Arabidopsis thaliana: one gene and its partners. The protein of the gene in region 1 interacts with the protein of each later gene in a pairwise test. Each region holds a gene or a part of one and is shown in the gene's direction. Other genes may lie near its edges.

Evidence for each region.
Region 2: the proteins of AT1G15385 (region 1) and AT3G14780 interact in a two-hybrid assay, tested with the Arabidopsis thaliana proteins (one large-scale study listed by BioGRID).
Region 3: the proteins of AT1G15385 (region 1) and AT3G08530 interact in a two-hybrid assay, tested with the Arabidopsis thaliana proteins (one large-scale study listed by BioGRID).

What each region holds. Positions count from the first base shown.
Region 1 is NC_003070.9:5,291,010-5,296,965, reverse strand, and holds AT1G15385 (cotton fiber protein), read left to right. Parts: upstream 1-3,627; 5' UTR 3,628-3,768; coding exon 3,769-3,990; 3' UTR 3,991-4,254; downstream 4,255-5,956. Other genes in the region: AT1G15400 (uncharacterized protein), read left to right, coding at 142-560, 920-947; PDF1A (peptide deformylase 1A), read right to left, coding at 1,341-1,649, 1,733-1,822, 1,903-2,313; GLYI4 (Lactoylglutathione lyase / glyoxalase I family protein), read right to left, coding at 4,679-4,942, 5,646-5,751, 5,857-5,956.
Region 2 is NC_003074.8:4,960,230-4,967,414, reverse strand, and holds AT3G14780 (callose synthase), read left to right. Parts: upstream 1-3,845; 5' UTR 3,846-3,949; coding exon 3,950-4,190; intron 4,191-4,330; coding exon 4,331-4,431; intron 4,432-4,613; coding exon 4,614-4,735; intron 4,736-4,839; coding exon 4,840-5,161; intron 5,162-5,260; coding exon 5,261-5,518; 3' UTR 5,519-5,638; downstream 5,639-7,185. Other genes in the region: RHM3 (rhamnose biosynthesis 3), read right to left, coding at 540-983, 1,074-2,633.
Region 3 is NC_003074.8:2,591,608-2,599,709, reverse strand, and holds the start of AT3G08530 (Clathrin, heavy chain), read left to right. Parts: upstream 1-4,055; 5' UTR 4,056-4,298; coding exon 4,299-4,343; intron 4,344-4,695; coding exon 4,696-4,900; intron 4,901-5,006; coding exon 5,007-5,095; intron 5,096-5,212; coding exon 5,213-5,291; intron 5,292-5,366; coding exon 5,367-5,494; intron 5,495-5,596; coding exon 5,597-5,695; intron 5,696-5,775; coding exon 5,776-5,884; intron 5,885-5,991; coding exon 5,992-6,071; intron 6,072-6,154; coding exon 6,155-6,382; intron 6,383-6,468; coding exon 6,469-6,534; intron 6,535-6,661; coding exon 6,662-6,778; intron 6,779-6,871; coding exon 6,872-7,069; intron 7,070-7,152; coding exon 7,153-7,269; intron 7,270-7,365; coding exon 7,366-7,425; intron 7,426-7,617; coding exon 7,618-7,704; intron 7,705-7,829; coding exon 7,830-7,913; intron 7,914-8,001; coding exon 8,002-8,102. Other genes in the region: KOB1 (elongation defective 1 protein / ELD1 protein), read right to left, coding at 195-452, 564-651, 781-827, 935-1,076, 1,283-1,470, 1,571-1,615, 1,736-1,870, 1,960-2,068 and 3 more.

The sequences.
Region 1 (5,956 bases):
CCCATGAAAAAATAATGAGGACAGAAATAAAAGGAAACCAAGTCTGAAACACAATGATTGATTAATCACTTATAAGGCCTAAACTCACTTTTCCTAGTTTTGCCCTTCTTTTAGCTCATCAACAGAGAGAGAGATAGATCCATGGAGGGTCTTCAAAGATCAACAATCTCTTTCCGCCGTCAGGGATCTTCCGGTATAGTGTTTGACGATCGTCTCATCGCCGAACTCAACAAATCGGGAAACAACGAGCAGAAAGACGAAAGTCAACGCGACGAACAACCTAAGCCTATGTCGGAAAGCTCTGAACAGGTCAAACCAATCGATGAGAAAGACAAGCTTAGACCGATTAAAACCGGTGGAGGAGCACCAGGAGGAATAGAGAGGAGTCGATCTAACGGTGGAGGAGCTCAACGACATCATAGAACAACCGGAAGAGTTTCTCCGGCAGTGGACCCGCCGTCTCCGAGAATTTCGTCATGCGGTTGTTGCTCTGCGTTTGGAAAGAATCCGCCGGGGAAGAAAGTTAATCCGAGGAAAAGGCCGCCGAAACGTAGATCGAGGTAGGCGTCAGGATTAATAATATTCATGAGGAAAAAATAGTATACACTGTCTTTCATCTTTCTTCTTCTTCTTTTTTGTATGTGTGTGTTCTTTGTTATAAAAAACTTTAAATTTGATTTTTCGATTTGATCAACAGACTCTGGTTATTTGTAAATTATCTGTCTTTCTTTGTTTTCGGACAATTTCCCATTTCTGTACAAAATCAAACTTTCCGATTTGGTGATTCTTCTTCCTTCTTGGCGAATTATCTGATTAAGTGATTTCAGTATAAAACATTTTGAGAAAAATCAAACAACGTTCAAGTCCCTTCCGATGGCTCACTGACTAATCCTCTAGGGTTTCGAATCTGGCAGAGAAGGCGGCGGATCGTGACCAAGAAAAGATAAATCAATCTGCTTTGATTGGAATTAGACGGCTCTGATGTGATGTTTTGATTTAATATTAATATTCGTATCTCAAATTATATACTTACTGGACCCGCCGAGGGGGAGGGCCGTTTCACCGCCGCATTAAACGGCTACGACACCGTGTCTTGTCCGGAGTAAGCATAACATCACATTACCATTTGTAGAATAGCTGTCTTTAATTGTACTAATATCTTCTGTCTTCAAGTTATAATATTTTATTAAATGAAAATCTTTCAATCCATTACCAAACCCGAAAAAAGAACCCTCTTTCCGACAAAGTTTCATCTTTGAAATTATTTGAGTCAAGCTCAATCTAGAAGAGTTTTAGTAAAGAATCAAAACAGAAGATTACAACTTTTGTTGAAGAATCTGTCATTGAGGTCCGAGCTTAGGGCAGCCCTCAGCTAAAGGCAAGTCCAAGTTGTCGACTGTCCTAAAAGTGCGTGGTACCATCTTATCAACGTAAAGATTACCATCCAAATGATCACACTCATGTTGCAAAATCCTAGCTTGCCAACCTGAAGCATTCACTTCAATCCTCTTTCCTTGACGATCGTAGCCCGTCACTACCACCTCAAGGTATCTCTCCACCGCAGCTCTGAATCCATCAACACTCAAGCATCCTTCAAAGAAAAGAGCTTTCTTGTTGCTTCTCTCCTTGAGAACCGGATTCACCATCACCTAACCAAAACCCCCAAACTTCAACATTTTTGTTCTAATCGAAAATTGTAACAACTCTTAAGCACTCTGATTCTATTATTTACCATGAGATCAAAATGACGTCTTTCTTGAGCAAGAATCTCTTCCTTTGGTGCGTAACTTATATACTCTTTTGTATCTTCCAATACAATAATCTGCATCATTCACCATGAAACACTAATTCAATCATTTGCTTCGAAATGGGTGAAACTAGGAAAAGCATTTATAGACTTACCCTTAAGGGAACACCAATTTGAGGAGCAGCGAGGCCAACTCCAGGAGCCAATCTCATAACTTTAATCATATCATCAATTATCTTCTGAATACGCTCCGACCCGATTTCTCCCGGGTCAACTTCTCGGGCCTTCTCGTGCAGAACCGGGTCACCAGATGCCACTATCTCCGGTAAATCCACTTTCTTTTTCTTCTCACCAAGACCCAATAACCAACCGGCTTTTGTCGACAAAGAGGAGGAAGAAGAAGTAGGCAAATTATACAGCTTACGGTTCAGTAAGTGTGAGGAACCGGGTCTTGAAACGGGGAATCGGATCGAGCGACATGTCACGGCGGCGGAAACCGGAAGTAGACGAAGTGAGACTCTGAAAAGGGTTTCCATGGCCGTCGCTTCGTCTCGGTGGAGTCCCATCGGTCGTCATTTCTTGAAATACGACTCCTTGGGCCTAAAATCGCTCTTTCAGCCTATTATCTTAATAGCCCAATAGAAATGAGATAGTTCTGCTCTTCCTTGGGCCTAATACATAATTGTTTTTCTTTTTGACAACACAGGGATTCTCTATAGAGATAATGTTGTCATAAAACATAATAATTTTGAGTTTGATTAGTTTCCAATATCTGTCCAATACGATTGTGATATTCCTTAGGTAATCTATTACCGTTGCACAAAAAGAAAAGATAATCTATTACATGCATTAACTACCAAAACACTCTTTAATCGTGTGATTATAAATATGCGTTAGTGATGTTATCCGGAGCAATCCACCACCACAGGCCAACTACGTAATAACAAAAATAAATTTAAAAACTGTAATAGATAAATCAAATTTGAATTACCAAATAACATCCTAAACTAGTGGGTTCAAAATCATTAATTTTTATGTTTGGTTATGGCCAATAACGGTTCATAATTAATCAAATTGTAACTCTACCATGTACGTTTGCTTTGAAGCTTCTTATTTTATTTTATTTTGATAATCGCATTATTCTTCGATCACGGCAAATGAATTTTGAACCAATATTCTCTATACATTTTAATAAAAAAAGTATGTGTATCAATATATCATACATGATTCAACGAATCTGCCGAAAACTAATTAGTTCGGTTTAGAGTTAGGTACTTAGGTTATAAGCTAACTTAAGCCACATAATCTCTTTTATTTTATTGTTCTTCTTGGTAAAGAAGAAGCGGTACCGGTTACCGGAGCGGCGACAATGGGAATAGTGGGCGGTGAGTTAACGAGTTCAATCTCCAATGCTTAAGCCGTAATTCGTGTGGTATATAAAAACAACAAAGCCAATTGTTTTGGTTAGTGACGAATGGTCAAATTATATATAACTTTCTAGAATCTTGCATCCTTGTTTCTCCAAATTAACAAATTCAAATTTAATATGTAGTTAGGCAACCTCTTTTACATTTCTTTCAAGCAGAATCTTAGATTTGATGCTATGTTATTCCAATAGTTAATAGAGGATTAACGTATATTTTATTTTTTCTTAAAAAAGAAATATATAAATTATAAAGTAGAGAGTAGAGACGGTGCTTTGTAGATCATTCCTCTCTGACTATGGATGGGTCTCGTATATAACGTTTTTTGTTATTGTTAATAAGTCGCGTGTATAACTTGAGATTCAAGATTCCATTTCTTTTTATTCCTTCAACATTCAACTATGGTTTACGTAAAGAGAAATAAGTCTTCTCCTTTCCTATATGTCTAACTACAGTTTTTTATTAAAAAAAAATAAAAAAAAAAATGAAAATCCCCTATAAATACATAGGTCTCGAGCATCTCCAAAATATAACAATTCACCCTCTCTCCAAAATCAATTAAGGAAACACAAGCACTGTTACACACACATCTCTACCATGAACAACAACAAGAACATGAAGATGATGATGAGTTCCGCAAAAGAAAGTGGTAATGGTACCACTAATATTGTTATTAAAGAGACGATGAATAAGAAGGTGGAAAGGAAGGCATCGATGGACGTGGACAAGAGCGCAGAAGCTTTCATCACAAAGTTCAGAAATCAGCTTCTTCTCCAGCGTCTTGAATCCATTGAAAACATGCTCTCCAAAGGCCCTTAACACTACTTATCAATATACACATGTATTATTTCTTTCTTGTATATATAGTACTGTTATATCTCATGGGATTCCAACGTATGGAAGAATGATTTATGGCTTTCATATATTACTTTAGATCTTCTTTCTTTTAGATGTGGAACTCTATTTCTTGGTATTTATATTACAATATAAGAAATGTAAGGTGTGCCTTAGCAATACAATCTGTATCAACTTTTTCTATTTGGATCAAATTTTTGCAATAGACTTTCTCAATTGAAATTGTGACTTCTAAACAAAAGGGGAATGCGAGAGCCAAACATGTATTGGATGCCTCTACGAACTAGCTTGGAATCTCTTTACAAGCCTTTTTGTTGTTAGACCGTTCAATGTAGATATGAGATTCGTAACATATACGTTAACTTCGAGGGTCTAGAATGCATTTCTTGAGAGAGTGAATAGTCTAGTCTCTTTAGTTGCATTGCACAAAAGAGTTAAATCGAACCAAATACATTAACCAATATACATATATGTAAAACATGATTTCCCTTGATTATATTATATAAGCTTGTGGAGCAAAGAGAATGGTCATTTCCTCGAAGGGAATCACATTCGCTGATTCACATCGGTCTCTTATTGTATATTACACCCAAAACCAAGCACACCAATACACAAACACACACAATATAAAGAAGAAGTGAGCTGTTTATAATTAAGGGTAGACCACTTGGTGGATCTGAGTCTGCGGTTGTGGCTGCACCATCTGGTGGAGTTTGACTCTTGAGCAGGACCGAGCCATTTCTCCTACGAGGGGGACTACGGGGAGGCTATCGCAGTTGCAAATCTCGATCATGAAGCCATCAGGGTCATGGAAGAAGAGCTGGTCCACTTGGATCCCTCCTTCTTCTACTAATGCCCTTACATAATCTATCCCCATTTCCTCCAGCTTCTTCTCCACTACTCCCATACTCTCACACTGCATTTCCATAATTCACAACTCTTATTATTCAGACCAAAATTTCTACTATAATCTTATGTATGCTCAAAAAACAGAGTAACAACTATATACTTGGGATCTCCTCTTGTTAATTGTCTCACAAATTCTTCACACACATACCAAACACAAGATGTTTTGATGCTTAAAACCAAGTGGTTTGTTGTATAATCCTAACTAACATTTCTATTACACAACTATAAAAGTTGAGGATGTTTTGATTCATAAAACAAAATTGTTTGTTGTCAATAATGGAACAATGAATACTTCTGACTCACAAAACTTGACCTCTGAAAACCCCACCTTCTATTGTCCTTTTTTTCTCTCCCTTCTTAACTTATCTCTTGTCATTTTCTCTAGGATATTTTTGTTCTCTCATAAATTCAGTTTCTTTCATTCAATAGTTATCATAAGCCAATTCAAACTATACTAACAAATTCTATCCTAAGGGTCATTTACTTAGGAAACTAACAAATTTTGGATTTTCTTCCTTAATAATAAATAATTCTGAGATTGTGTTTTGCACAAAAGGTTCATAAATATAGAAAAATATCCTAAGACAACATCTAAATACAGAGCTTGTATGAACGTAGATTATGGTTTATGGCTTTAAAAAGCACAAAAGTTTTATTGAAAAAAACAAAAAACAGGGCAAAACTGAGAATTAACACACACGAAAAATTACCTGGAAAGAGATGTGATTATCCTTGGGATTAATCGCAGTTTTCTTGGGAAGTTTCTCTGGTTCTGGGGCACACAGGAGGTGTATTCCAATCCCGTGACCAAACAACCTAGACCCCCCCAAAAAAAAGAACATGTAAAAAAACTAAACTCATTGGTACTTTTTTTGTCCCTCAAAATTCAGATATATTTTAAATAAAATGATGATAAATTACCAAGCGCCTTCAAAATTTAAGGATTCAGGTCTTCGTATCGGGATGAACCCTAACACCTTTTGGTAAAAATTCATAGATTCGTCGACGGATCGGCACAAGA
Region 2 (7,185 bases), on another chromosome or scaffold:
GTGAATAAATTTTTATTTTCCTCGATACACATTAACTTTACTAGTTTTGAATTGTGGTAGGATGAAAAGATCATGGAATGTCACTCGTAGTTCTCTAAGGTGGTGAAACTGAAGAGAAAGCCAAATGCTTTTAGATGGTCGTGTTGCGTAGATGGAACAGAAAGTACAGAAGTTTAATTTATTTATGCATTTGAGTTTGCTGTTTGTAACAAATAGAATCCTCAAGTTTAAAGCAAAGGGAAATAAGTTAAAGTCAATTTTGTTTCTTCTTTTTCTATATCTTGCTTAACATGAAAACAAAACAGGGATTATAGAATAGGAGTAGGAGGAACCAATAATGAAAGGAGAGACAACTCCAACAAATCGATCTGTGTAATAACATTAATGGAAAACAAAGATGTGTTGTGACGTAGAATGAGTGAAGACAGCTACATGCAAGTCGTAGAATGCAAAAAAAGAGAGTAAATGAATCAGATAAAACTATAGTAGAAACATTATAGTGAACACAGAGCGGGGAAGTGCGTGTGTGTGTCTGTGTTTTACGTTCTCTTGTTAGGTTCGAAGACGTATTTGATCAACGAATCTTTGATGGAAAGCATCTCTGGAAACTCCTTGCTGAGCTTGGCACCATCCATCTCGTTGTTGCTCCGTGGAGCAACAATGACCTTAGCCTGTTCTTCCAAATTGAAGTTGGACCATTTGAAATCAGGCTCGATGTAACTCTTGTACATCTCTAATATCTCGTTGTGGCTCACCACTCCTGGATTGGTGAAGTTCCATATTCCCCTTAGGTTCCTCTTCGCCATCTCGATCGAGATTGGTAAGAGTTCATCTAGTATGGTCATGCTGTTTGGAATGTTCACCACTTTGTTGTAACGCGAGATCTTCGTGATGAAGTTTCGCGGGTTATTTAAGTCAGATGAGATTGGCATCCGCACTCTCAAGGTGCATACGTTGTCAAATTCTCTTAGAAGCTCTTCCACCTGGCAAAAATAGAAACAAGAGGATTTTTTATGGACAGAGTTCAAGAGACTGAGGATCAGATGTGATTTGGTTATGTGATATTATCTTACCATTGCCTTTGTTTTTGAGTAGAAAGAACCAGTGAAATTCGGTTTATCTTCTTCCTTAAAACCAATCCCTGAACCTTCTGGATGTGCAGCGTCATACTCGAATATACAACCAGTGGCAAAGTTCATCATCAACAGATCATTCTCTCTGCAAACATCTGCAAGAGTCAAAGTTCCAGCAACGTTGACTCGGATGGTTTCAGTTTTGTGAGATTCACACCAGTCAACATTGGGTCTCCCAGTTAAACCAGCGGCGTTGAAGACATGACTTGGTTTGATGCTGCGAATATCTGCGATGAGAGAAGCTCTATCCTCTAGTCTTCCTTTTCCATACTCGTAAGGAATCCCTTGTTTCTCACATAGTTTTCCCAGAAGACCACCGAGCCACCCAGTCTTCCCATAGATGAGGAACTTCAAGGATCTTTTGTCTCCGGAACAACCAGCCTTGGTGGGAGTAACCACCGTGAATGTCTGATTACCATCTGCATTCTTGTGCTCGTCAGAGCCATCAGAGTGTCGGTCACCGGGCATCATCAACATCCGTGGATGAGGAAGCAGAGCTCCAGAAACATCGCCCCACCACTCAGGGTTCTCAGTATACCATTCCATTGTCTTCCTCAGTCCTTCTTCCCAATTGGTTCGCTCACACCATCCTAATTTCTTCAGCTTCTGGTCATCGAGGAAGTACCTCTGGTCATTGAATGGCCGGTTTTCCACATACTGAATGGTGGAGTCAGGGTCTATCCCAAAGAGTTTACTGATGTCATTAGCCACATCAATCACTCTCCTTTCTCTCGTTGTCCCTATATTGTAGACATGGTTAACTTCCCCTTTGTGAAGAACAACCTCAAATGCCTCAGCAACATCTTCGCAGTAGAGATAACTTCTCACATTAGATCCATCTCCGTGGATTGGGAGAGGCTTCCCATTCATGGCCAAGAGGATGAACTTAGGAATCAACTTTTCAGGAAACTGGTTAGGACCATAAACATTGTTCCCGCGAGTTGTTATAACCGGCAACCCATATGATCTACCATATGCCATGACAAGCATCTCAGCTCCAGCTTTAGTGGCGGAGTATGGATTAGTTGGGAGCAACTGAGAAGCCTCGTGATTACCCACTGAAGCATCCTCATCAGTCTCTCCATAGACCTCATCAGTACTCACATGGATGAACCTCCTGATCTGGCCAGTGACTTTACAAGCTTCCAAAAGGACATGGGTACCATAAATATTGTTCTTGGTAAACTCAAAGCTATTACCGAAAGAATTGTCAACATGGGTTTGAGCAGCAAAGTGCATAATGGTGTCGATTTCTTCAGTGATGAGAAGGTAGTTGACGAGATCAGCACTGGCGATATCTCCTTTCACAAACTTGAAGTTGGGAGAGGATTTAGAAGGATTAAGGTTCTTCAGATTAGAACAGTAATCAAGCTTGTCAAGCACAACAATTTTGTAGTCAGGGTAGCTGCGAACTAGTCTGTTAGCAACATGAGAGGCTATGAATCCAGCAGCCCCAGTGATGAGGATGTTCTTAGGCTTATATGTAGCCATCTGCAACATCAAAACCCATGAAAATTCAATTCAGAAAAGCTTCATTGACAGACGAAACAGCACAAGAAAAACTTCATCTTGCGACATTTAATCAAACAGTTAGACTACACACTAAGCAGAACCATTCAAAAATCTATCCTTTTTTACAAAATTTCACTGTGTGATTCAGTACAATCAAAGTCATGAGATTCGAATTGATAAAAGGACAAGCTACAACTATTAATCCAAAATTCGAAATGATCAAGGAAAAAATAAGGCAGATCTAGATCCAGAAGTATGTATGACAAATGTAGCAAATCCAAATACGCTAAAATTTCCCAGATTTAGCAGCAGATCCAGTGGAAAACGATGAGAAAGCATCATGAACCGAAAAAAAAAAAAAAACTTCAGGATACGGCATCAAACGCAGAACGAAGACGTACAATAACGAATTGAGCTTAGAGATTTATAGAGAATTGAGGGAAAGAGAAAGAGTTCACATACCGGATCGATTCAGATCAAGATGAAGATGAACCCAAGCTTGAAGAATATGCAGAGATGGATTAAAGGAGGGAAAAATCGAGGAGAGGAGAGAGATCAATGGAAATAAATAAAAAAAGGAGTGTGAAGAAAGAGAGGGAACGAAGGAAAACGAATGAGCGTCTCAAATGAGTAATTTTGAGACAGTTACGGAGAACCAGTGGGAGACTACGCAATGACCAAATTACCCATTACTACTACTACTACGCTTTAGAAATTAATTTCATCACACATTCAAACTAAACAAATAGTTAGAACAAAAATTACCATTAATAAAATGGTAATAAATAAAATGATAATTTTGAACACATCGACTACTCATCTATGATTTGTACCGAAAGATGACTAAAAAAGTTTGTTTTACAAAAAAAAAAAAGATGACTAATTTTTTTTAATACATTTTACAATTTGGTTTGATTTGGACATCAAGTTATTTTTGTAGTCTATATTTTGGTATATTCTTGGTGGCTAAGAAATATATACATATGCTTTAATTATATTCCAATTCATAAGATTTAGTCTATCTCAACTTGTTTTAATGGTTTTTCTTTTCCCATGCACGTTGATATTATCGTGTAAAGTGTAAACTTTTGCTAGGAAACCACTTTCTCTAGTACCAAACTAGTAGAAAGCATTTTTCTCCTCCAATAAATCACTTTTAATTAACACTTCAAACACCGTCTTTACATTGTTTATTTTATAGAATTCCACCTCGCTAAGCAAGTGCTGCTTTATATAATTAATTCCATCTCCAATGTTATCTCCATGCCAACTAAAACAATAGAAGAAGCAGCTTTCATCTCCCAATGTCGTCTAACGAAATCGCCCCTGTGGATCCTACCGATGTTTTTCTTGATATGGATCCCATCCTCCCGGAAGATTCGCCGGCAACCAGCTTGTTCACGAGACCCCTCGCTTTGAAAGAACAATATGTGTGGGAGCCCTATGACAGCGAGAAGCTTCCGGAGACATTAGCCTCAGGGATTCAAAGGTTTCTTCGTGTAGCAAACTTGGTTGAGTCTGATGATCCTCGTGTTGCTTATCTATGTGAGTTTACTTTACTCTCGTCTAATTCCCTAAATTTGAGTACTACTTTAGGATTTTCTCTGTTTTTGAGTCGAAATTCACGCTTTCTTGTTAAAGAATCATAATTTATATGTTAATCTTTTTATTTTTTCTGGTCGTAGGCCGTTTTTATACTTTTGAAGAAGCTCACCGCATTGACAGTAGATCTAACGGAAGAGGTGTACGACAGTTCAAAAATTCTCTTCTTCGAAGGCTAGAGAAGGCAAGTCACCTAAGAGTAGAAAACGTGACACTGATTCTAGCTAGTTTCTTGATTTTTTTTAAGATATGACCGATCATATGAATGGTGTGGATCAGTCTCCGGATAATTCATGAAATTTCTAACCTTATATATTAAGTTGTTATGTTGTTTGTCTTGATCTTTAATTTGTTTACTTGTAGTAGGATGACGAGTTTACTATAAGAAGAAGAAAGGAAATAAATGATCATAAGGAACTCAAACGTGTTTATCATGCTTACAATGAATACATCATCAGACATGGTGCATCATTCAATTTGGATAATAGGTATATATATATCCTCCATTTTTAAAAAAATCTACTGACTATTGCTAGTTCTAGTTCAATTTCAACGAACCAACATTAACCTATGGAAATTTATCTGAATATAGTCAGCAAGAGAAGTTGATAAATGCACGCAGCATTGCTTCTGTTTTATATGAAATTCTAAGGAAAATCGAATCAAGTATGGGCCGTGCCTCAACCCCAGAAAGTATACAATTAAACCGGGATGAGGAGATTGGTGAGCTCCTTGATATGGACACCTCAATGGAGGAGACCAACAAGATAAATTCGGACGAGACCTTTGTCGACCAAAAAGCCGAGTTGGTAGTTGAGAAGAGCAAAGTCTTAGAGGACGAGAGACTAACTCAAATGTTTCAAGGAGACCACCAATATCTCACCCAAGATGAAAAAGATGACATATACAAAGAGGTGACACTTTTGAATTTTTAAAAATTATTTATTTTCTAACAATAATTTTATAAGTTATCAACTAACTTTCTTTTAAAAGTATTTTTTTGGGGGTTTTAGGAGGTTCAAATAAAGAAAGACAAACGTTTTGCATATGGATCAATGAAGGCGGTTCCATCTTTGTTTTACGAAGATAAGTATCTCGAGACACAAGAAAAGTTGAACAAGCTGGAGAAGAAGATTGAAGAGATGGAGCTGAAACTCAAGGATGTCGACTTTTGGACTAACATGATGCAAAACATGTTTCCAGACCAAGTACCTCCATCTATGAGAGCAAACCAAACCGATAACAACAAAAACGACAAACTAAGCCTTTAAATTTTATCTTCTATCTAGTTGTTCTATTCCTATGGTTTGTAAGACACTAAATATTTACATTTAAGTTATCTTTGAACTTATGTTTTCGAATATTTAATTAGTTTACAAATTATATTTTTGTCTACGAATTGCATGACAGGAAAAAAGAGAGAGATCTAATTCCTTAAAACATATATTCAAAATACGGATCTATTTGATAAAAGAATAGAAAAGTAGATCAAAGTTTTATTTTAAATATGGAAAATATTAATAACTAGAGTATGTATGGAATTAATTTTGTATAGATACTGCTTGGAAATATAATCCATTTTGAAACGGTAAAACAAAAAGAATTTATTATTTTTAATGTAAGAGAAGATTTTTCTTTTTTAACCATCGTAGTTGATAATCACTTTTTTTGCGGTGCATATGGCACACTACCGATGGAGCTGGCTTGTTCAATAATTTAACAACAACTTCTACCTATCAATTCTCAGCCACACTTATTTTTTAACCCATGCGTTTTTTTTTTTTTATTGTACGATTCAAGGAAATTGCGACAGAGGAAATATTTGCACGTTTAGAAATACACAAATTATTTGTTGATGTCTACGTGATGTGATTTATTGATTTATGTATCTCAAACTTTTTCGGACACATTCATCATAACTTGTTAACTTTTAATTCGACAAGGCCTGGTCATAATTATTTAGAAAAATAACAAAACTAGACACATTTGATTACTTAGGTTATATATTTCTCCTTTTGACAAAAAAAAGGTTATATATTTCTCCGTTTAATTAAATTATATAATGAATAACATCATATTCAAAACCAAGACATTCAGAGCGCCACAAATATTTTAAAATCAATAGCAAAAGTCTCCTAATGACTTTTCTTTTGCTTAATTCACGTGTTTTTCTGGTTAATCTAGTTGATATTTCTACGTAATTGTTCAAAAATAAAATATATTCTACGTTACATTATAAATCAAATATTTATTTTATTTAATGCCGTATACATTTTGTATACACCCGAAATCGAATGGTATATATAATTTCTGAAAATTGGATAAGCTTAAGTGCTTAGCCACTTGATTACTACAATGTCGTAATTAGATCATTCACGTAATTAAAATTTAAAACAAATGTTCTGAATGGTTGGTGACAGACTGACAGTGACTAATGGATAAACTCATGTGTCTCGCGCTCGATTATCGGCTTATTACATGAGTTATGTTATATAGGTTATAATGGTTATTGTAAAGAGAAAGGTTTAAATCTGTTTAACCAATCAGCTTAATGAAGAATAAATGTGTCACAAAGTAAAAGTCAAACCCATTGAATACATATATAGAATAGAAAAATTCGTGATATTAGCGTAACGTTAGCTAGATTGAAAGATTGATTGTCCCACGCTTTGTTATACAGATCGCGTGGCGTCGTACTTTAAACATACTTCAGCGAAACAGCGACATGGCTTAATCAACTATATCATCGGTAATTTGATATATCAATAAAGTGATTTATCGGAAAAACGTTAATTTCTTCACAAGTTGGAGTATATGTATTCACTCGCGTACGTAAGTTATAATTTCAGATAACGTAGATAATAACTTCACTCATAATATAAATGATTGTACTTTAATTGTAATAATGAGCGTATGAGTAGCGTCTCGCTAGGATAGT
Region 3 (8,102 bases), on another chromosome or scaffold:
AGTTGCAGAGGGAGAGCAAAATGAGACAAGAGAATCGATGACTTTTCAATATGATTAGGAAGAATCACACAAAGCCGCTTTCTTCACTCTTCTTTGTTCCACTTCATTTGCCATCCTAAAGCTACACAGCACTCATATTGCAACCAGTATCAATATCAGTAAAAGCGAATGCATCAGCTCCGTGCTAAAACCTGTTAATCCTCTGTAAAAAATCTAGCTTGTTCCATCCCAGGTGGCGATAAAGGAGGGATGGCTGATTCAGCCTCAAGAAGGTGCCTTGCAGAGATGCCCTCAGACTTGCTTTCCTTTGATGGAAGGGACTCAGATGCAGTAGACCTGGATGAGTTGCTTTTGTGAATTGATGATAAGAACTTTTTCTTTGACAGATTTGTAGAAGCTGATGAGACAACCGAGCTGAAGACACCAGATTCTTTCAATGCTTGTATAACAACCTGCATTTTACCACAAATGTATATAATATTTTACAATTGACTTGCAAGAACTCAACATTCCAGGACTTGTGTTTGGAATTTTGTATAATGAATTGCAGAGTATGTTCTTACCATTGGTGAATAGATGCGAGTCAGAATACCCTTCCTAAGGAGTTTCGTCTTCACGTCTTTGTCACCCCACACAACGTGTTCACGGTACCTACACAGGGTAGATTACTTTTTGATCAAGACCAGATATTTTTGTAATCACAATAGGACCAAACTTGTTCAAAGAGTGTCAGAAGTTATCTATTTCACAAGTAACCAAGAACGATGCTAAGGCTCTTACCAGCTTAGCATTTCTTCGTCAGTTGCTGTTGACGCAATTATAAATGCCTACAATGTTGATCCATACAGCATCATAAAAGGGTAAGAGGAAGTGAAATATAGAGATTTTAAGAAATGACTAAGGACTTTTAGAGATTTTAAGAAAAGATGCTCACAGATCTGTCAAAGTCCAACATAAAGCATCTTTTCACGTCTTCTTTTGTAGGCTTACAGCCACATCGATCACGCCTGGATGTTAAGTCAGAAAATTTTGAATATGTGTAGTGTAGGACAGCAGCCTCCTCCAATTTGATCTCACTAGCAAGAATCATCAGGTTAGTATTTCCAAAAAAAAATTGGCTTCACAAACAGAAAAAATTAACTACGCTGTTAACCGGAACTCCACTCCACTGCTAACTCCTTTAAGATAGTTACATGGTTCTATATTAGAGTAACAACAAAGTCCTATCATGTTCCTCAACCAATAGAAAATTTAGTTATGTTTGAATATATGATAGACATACTTGGGAGTTTTCATGTAATTATGCCATCTGTGTGCTCCATTTGGACGAAGGTGATCTTGAACCCGAGCAACTGATTTGCCGTTACCATAAGTCAAAAAGTAATTTGGATTATTTCGTGTTGCTTCTTTGTACATTCCAAAATATGTATCTTTTGGAAGATGATCATAATTCTTCTTGAACATTGACACCTGCTTGCACCACACATATCTCAGAAGTAATACTAACATAACAAACAAATATTAATAAACCTACTCTCTTACGTAAAGACAGTAATAAACTGAATTATACCTCTGTAAAAGGATCCTTGATATCATCTCTTTCTACGCTGCTTTCCTAAACAACAAAATCCAAAAGCATTATTCATAGCAAAGGCCAGATCATAAAAGAAACTTTAGACTCACAAAACTAGCTGAAAATAAGCAATGCAAGAAGTGTGAATGAGATATCACTCACGTAATTTGGAAATATAACCATATCCACATTTGGAGGAACATCAAGCAGCAACCGTCTTAGTGAGTACTCACGAGCACCTGCTGGGTATATCAGCTCATCAGTGTCAAGATGAAGTATCCAATCCATGCCCGCATCCTGATATTTAGTAAGAACAAGAAAAATGAGAATGTAACATGAGACATGAGTCAAAACTGAACCAAATAAGGTCTAAAAGAAATACTTACCCTAGCCATGACAATAGCCATTTCCATGTTGAGAGATTGTTTGACAAATAACTCATAATTGCAGGGCTTATAAAAGAAAGACGAAAGCCAGGTCTCATTCCAAATCCGGCTGATGAAACAAAACAAAAAAGAATGACAGTAAAATGATCAGTAGTAGAAAATACAACAAAACAATGCTACAATTTCAGAATATACAACAAAACATGTGTTTAGTGCCTTGAAGAGCTATAGCTTTGTCGCAAATATGCAATGGGATAACTAACTAACCTCTTCGCTTGCTTCTCCTCAAGCTCTTTCGTCCTGTATATTACTTTAACACCCTGCAAGAGACATGGGACTACATTTATCGAAAACTGCATACCTTAAATACAAATTTATACCTACAGGACTAAAGAGCTAGAGATATACAGCCAAAACAAAATAAACAGTGGACGCGAAGAGAGGTAGTTCAACTCACAGGAATAGACTCGAGCACTTTAGAAATACTCGGAGTAGCAGCTTTCCCTTCAACGAAAAGGAAGAATGTTGAGACGCCTAGAACCTTATGGTAGAACATCCATGGTAGAATCTGATCCAATCCAGCTGATGTGCTAGTCGTGATACATATCTGTAAACAGTAACAATGTCAAGAATCATATACAACATGGAGCACAAAAAGTGAGGTGACTTTACAAAGACAGATCTGATCAAAAAATGAACTTTGGTATTTCTCAAATCTCTATAATCCAATAAAAAAAGAACAACTTGATATTTCAGATTAGACATTGTAGTAAGATTTAAGAAAAAAAAAAGGAATTTGGAAGTGTAGATCGATCCAAAGACTTGAAATCAGGGGAATTGAAAGTAGTAACCTTAGGCTTTAAGCTAGTATCAACACCAAACTTCCAATCAGCATAGTAAGGAAAAGAAGGAGAAGAGCTGCGAGCTAGATTTGAGCAGTCGGAGGAGGATTGGTGAGACTTTGGGGAGACAGATGAAACAGTCTCCATGCCGGGAAAGACCTCGTGATTGAGATCGGAGCCGCCAGGAACCGACGTAGAGGAACGAACAGAAGCAGAGGCAGGATCGGCGAGACCACCGCCTCGCCATTGGAGGATAAAGGCGAGACAAGCAAGGGAAACTGGAAGTAGAGTAAGGAGAAGGAGGAGCCTAGAGACGAATGAATGGTTTTGGGAAGAAGATGAAGATGAGGAAGAAGCAGATATTAGTGGAGCTCTGTGATGGTGAGTCGATTTCATGGTTAGCTCCACCACTTTGAAAAACAAAAAAAAGTTTCGGAGGAAGAAGACGAAGAAGAAGAAGAAAGACGCGATTCTGAGATCTTTCTTTTTATTTTATTTTCGTGTTTTGGTCGTCTGAGATCTCATCGGTAAAATTAAACTTTACTAACTAAATCTAATTGATTATCAATTCATCTCATTTTATTATGTATAAAAATTGGGAGATTTTCTTCCATTTTTTTTCTTAATCTTTCTCAACTGGATTTGAATTGATAGATTGGAAACATGTACCAACACAAAGAACAGAAGCAATTACACAGGGAGAAACAAATCTCCACACACTAAGCCACTATAAGCTAATAACAACAATAACCTATACAAAACAACAGAGCCATATAACAAAAAAAAAACCAATTCAACCAGGGGAAATGACTCTTTCATCACAGAAAACTGAATGGAACCAAGACGGATGACTTGATGCAACATACAATTGCAACCTGCAATCATCAGTGATACTCTATGACATAATATTCCTTCTTCTTTTGGATCAGATTAATTAAGTTTTGTTTCTAATTATTAAGTCATGACACTTCTTCCATTCTTAATTATTAAGTTTTTTTTTTCTTGTATCAAATCTTTAATTATTAAGTTTTTTAAAAAAAATTATTAAAAGTCATGACACTTCTTCCATTCTTAATTATTAAGTTTTTTTCTTGGATCAAATCTTAATTATTAAGTCATTTATTGTTGTTTCACCTAAGGTACCTTCATTTAAAAGCACCAATTAAAATATTTCACGTGTCGTCTCATTAGAAATTCGGATGCTTAGAGCCCAGTAAGGACCGATATGGGCCGGACCTGGTTATAAATGTAAGACTCTAATTGGATCGCTGTTCGTCATTACTTACCCATATATATTTGTTATTCTTCTTTTCTCAATTTTCTTTCTCTTTCCATCACCTTTCTCGTTCACTTGCTTCAGATCTGGCAGCGATTTCATTTCTTCTCCAGTCTTTCTCTCGTCTCGGTTCTATCTCCTGGCCATTGGCGGTCAGGACTTCTCAGCCGTATATTTGATTCCGTCCCCGGATTTACTCTTGCTGTGATCTGAGGTCAAACATGGCGGCTGCCAACGCCCCCATCACGATGAAGGAGGTCCTGACGGTGAGTTCTCCTTACTCTTCACTCTTATCTTTGAATATTTAGATGTGTATCTCCTGGAATCGACCGTGATTTTCTACGATTAAGCTCTGTTCAGTCTCTTGATTGATTGATTCCAGTTTCCTACTGATCTGAATTCTGCTCGATCGTTGTGTTACTCTCTAGTTTTTCCGGATCGCTTGTTTGGGAATGCATGTTTCTGATCAGATTTCTCTAACTATGCTCAGATCTGTGTTTCGTTAATATATCAATGCCGAATTTCAAGTTGTTGTCTGTAGCAATGTGCTTATGTACTCGGATCTCATAACTAAATAAATGAACTATTTGACGTAACGCTTCATCTTGATTTTTCCAGCTTCCGAGCATCGGGATCAATCAGCAATTCATCACGTTTACAAATGTTACTATGGAGTCTGACAAGTATATCTGTGTACGAGAGACGTCACCGCAAAACAGTGTTGTAATTATAGATATGAATATGCCGATGCAGCCTCTTAGGAGGCCTATTACTGCAGACTCTGCTCTTATGAACCCAAACTCGAAGATCCTTGCCTTGAAAGGTACTTGATTTTTTCCTTTGATCTAAAACCCATAACGGTTTCCTCGAATTCGTAGTTCATAATCCACTTATCTTGATGTTCACTTTTTACTTCAATATTTATGTAGCTCAAGTTCCAGGAACTACTCAGGATCATCTACAGATATTTAACATTGAAGCCAAAGCAAAGTTGAAATCACATCAGATGCCTGAGCAGGTGAGTGTTGATGCAAATATATTTGAACTCCATTATCGTTCCTGCTATACACTTCGTATAACTCTGAATTTTTCAGTCGGGTTTTTTTTTGGATAATAATGTTTCATGTTTTTACAGGTTGTCTTTTGGAAGTGGATTACACCAAAGATGTTGGGGCTGGTCACACAGAATTCCGTCTATCATTGGTCAATTGAAGGTTGTATATTTCAGCCTACTGTCATTTTCTTCATATCTTGTGTTTTCGTTTCTAATTTTCCTTCGGGTTTTATAGGTGATTCTGAGCCAGTTAAGATGTTTGATAGAACAGCCAATTTGGCCAACAATCAAATTATAAACTATAAGTGCTCTCCTAATGAGAAGTGGTTGGTTTTAATTGGAATTGCTCCTGGCTCTCCTGAGGTAAGTTTACTGCGCCACATATTAGGTCAAAAAAAGACATCAAAACTGCTTTCATGTTGTAGATTCTTGACTGATCTTGTCATTATTATCTGTTTTCTGTAGAGACAACAATTGGTAAAAGGAAATATGCAGCTTTTCTCTGTGGATCAACAGCGGAGTCAGGCCCTTGAGGCACATGCTGCATCGTTTGCGCAGTTTAAGGTAACGTCTTTGTTCTTTGGTGAGTTCATCTATGGTCTAATCTTGAACTGTAGTTTGACTTGCAACACTATTAATATTAGGTTCCTGGGAATGAGAATCCTTCTATTCTTATATCATTTGCAAGCAAGAGCTTTAATGCTGGGCAGATAACATCAAAGTTGCATGTCATTGAGCTTGGTGCCCAACCTGGTTAGCTCCCCGACGCAAAACTATATCTTCACTGTTATTTAATATAATTGGTTACGTTTTCTAGGTTGTATTCATCTGATCTTTAAAGGTTGGCGATTTTTTTGCAGGAAAACCATCATTTACAAAAAAACAAGCAGATCTCTTTTTTCCCCCTGATTTTGCTGATGATTTTCCTGTTGCCATGCAGGTTTGCTATTGCATTAGAATTTCAGTTATATGTGTAAGTAGTTAGTGACAATTTCTGGCACTAATTTCTCATTTTCCTGACAGGTCTCTCACAAATTTAACTTGATATATGTTATCACCAAACTTGGCCTGTTGTTTGTGTACGATCTAGAGACTGCTTCTGCTATCTACAGAAATCGGATTAGTCCAGACCCAATTTTCTTGACTTCTGAAGCTTCCTCAGTTGGGGGTTTCTATGCCATTAATAGGCGAGGACAAGTTCTTTTGGCTACAGTAAACGAGGCTACCATTATACCTTTTATTAGTGGCCAAGTATGCTAATCTTTTATGCTATTTTCCCGTTATAACCTACCCTTTTCATCATGTCATGCTAAGAAATCTATGCTTTTGTATCACAGTTGAACAATTTGGAGCTTGCTGTCAATCTTGCTAAAAGAGGAAACCTCCCAGGTGCAGAAAATCTGGTATGCGATGTTTATCATGGATCTGTTGTCTCGGTGAAGTAATTATATAGTTGTTAAATGGCAGCTTGAAGAAAAAAAATGTCATTTGGTATTGTGAAGTTTCTCATATTCTGCTCGGATGTTGTAGGTTGTCCAGCGGTTCCAGGAGTTGTTCGCTCAAACAAAGTACAAGGAGGCTGCTGAGCTTGCTGCTGAATCTCCTCAAGGAATTCTAAGGACACCTGATACAGTGGCCAAATTCCAGGTGTCTATTTCATATCCAAGCAACTATGTGTAAACATGTTTATTTATGATGAAATGTTGGTAACACCAATTTTTCAACTCTATAATTTTGCAGAGTGTTCCTGTACAAGCTGGACAAACTCCTCCATTGTTACAGTATTTTGGGACTCTTTTGACTAGAGGGAAACTCAATTCATATGAGTCACTGGAACTATCTCGGCTGGTTGTGAACCAAAACAAGAAGAACCTCCTGGAAAACTGGTTGGCAGAGGATAAACTAGAATGCAGTGAAGAACTTGGAGACCTTGTGAAGGTAATCTTGAAATGGACGATTTTATTCAAAATGTGTGATATGTCTCCTATGGTGTGTTGTGACGATAAACCTTTCTGTTCCAGACTGTGGATAATGATCTCGCTCTGAAAATATACATCAAAGCTCGGGCGACTCCAAAAGTTGTAGCAGCTTTTGCAGAAAGAAGGGAGTTTGACAAAATACTGATTTACTCAAAGCAGGTAAGCAATAAGATCTATAGTATAACCTCTTCTATTATTTTTACCCTAAAGTTCTGTTGTCTCATGAATTACCATTGTTTCATATTGTGACTTCAGGTTGGGTACACACCTGATTACCTGTTTCTTCTGCAAACCATACTCCGTACAGATCCTCAGGTTAGTGTGGTGCACTCTTGATACTTGCAACATACTAAACTATGAAAGGACTTTACTGAATATATGTGGCGTAAGCACTGGAAGAGTTATGAATCAACTAACTTGTTGAATAATTTGACCTGATGTTATATAGAATGAAGAATCTTTTTCCCACCGTATTAATATCAATAGTCTTTTAATTTTTATTTGCAGGGAGCAGTAAATTTTGCATTAATGATGTCTCAAATGGAAGGAGGTTCTCCAGTTGACTACAACACCATCACTGATCTTTTTCTTCAGGTAGGTCAATATATTCTGTATGCACCAATATTTGTAGCTCATTACTTGTTCTACTCCTATATACAGAATTGTATACAGTAGATGTAAATTATCATGTGCTTATTTGTCTATTTGTGCATATTCAGAGAAATCTGATCCGTGAAGCGACTTCTTTCCTTCTGGATGTGCTAAAGCCAAATTTACCTGAGCATGCTTTTCTGCAAACTAAGGTTGAAAATAGTTGCCACCTTGTATCTCTCCGTTTTTTTCTCTACTCACCTTCTTTCCCCAGACTGTTTAAATCATTTTTCAACACAGGTTCTGGAGATAAATTTGGTAACTTTTCCTAATGTGGCTGATGCGGTATTAGCAAATGGGATGTTCACCCACTATGACCGGCCTCGCATTGCTCAACTTTG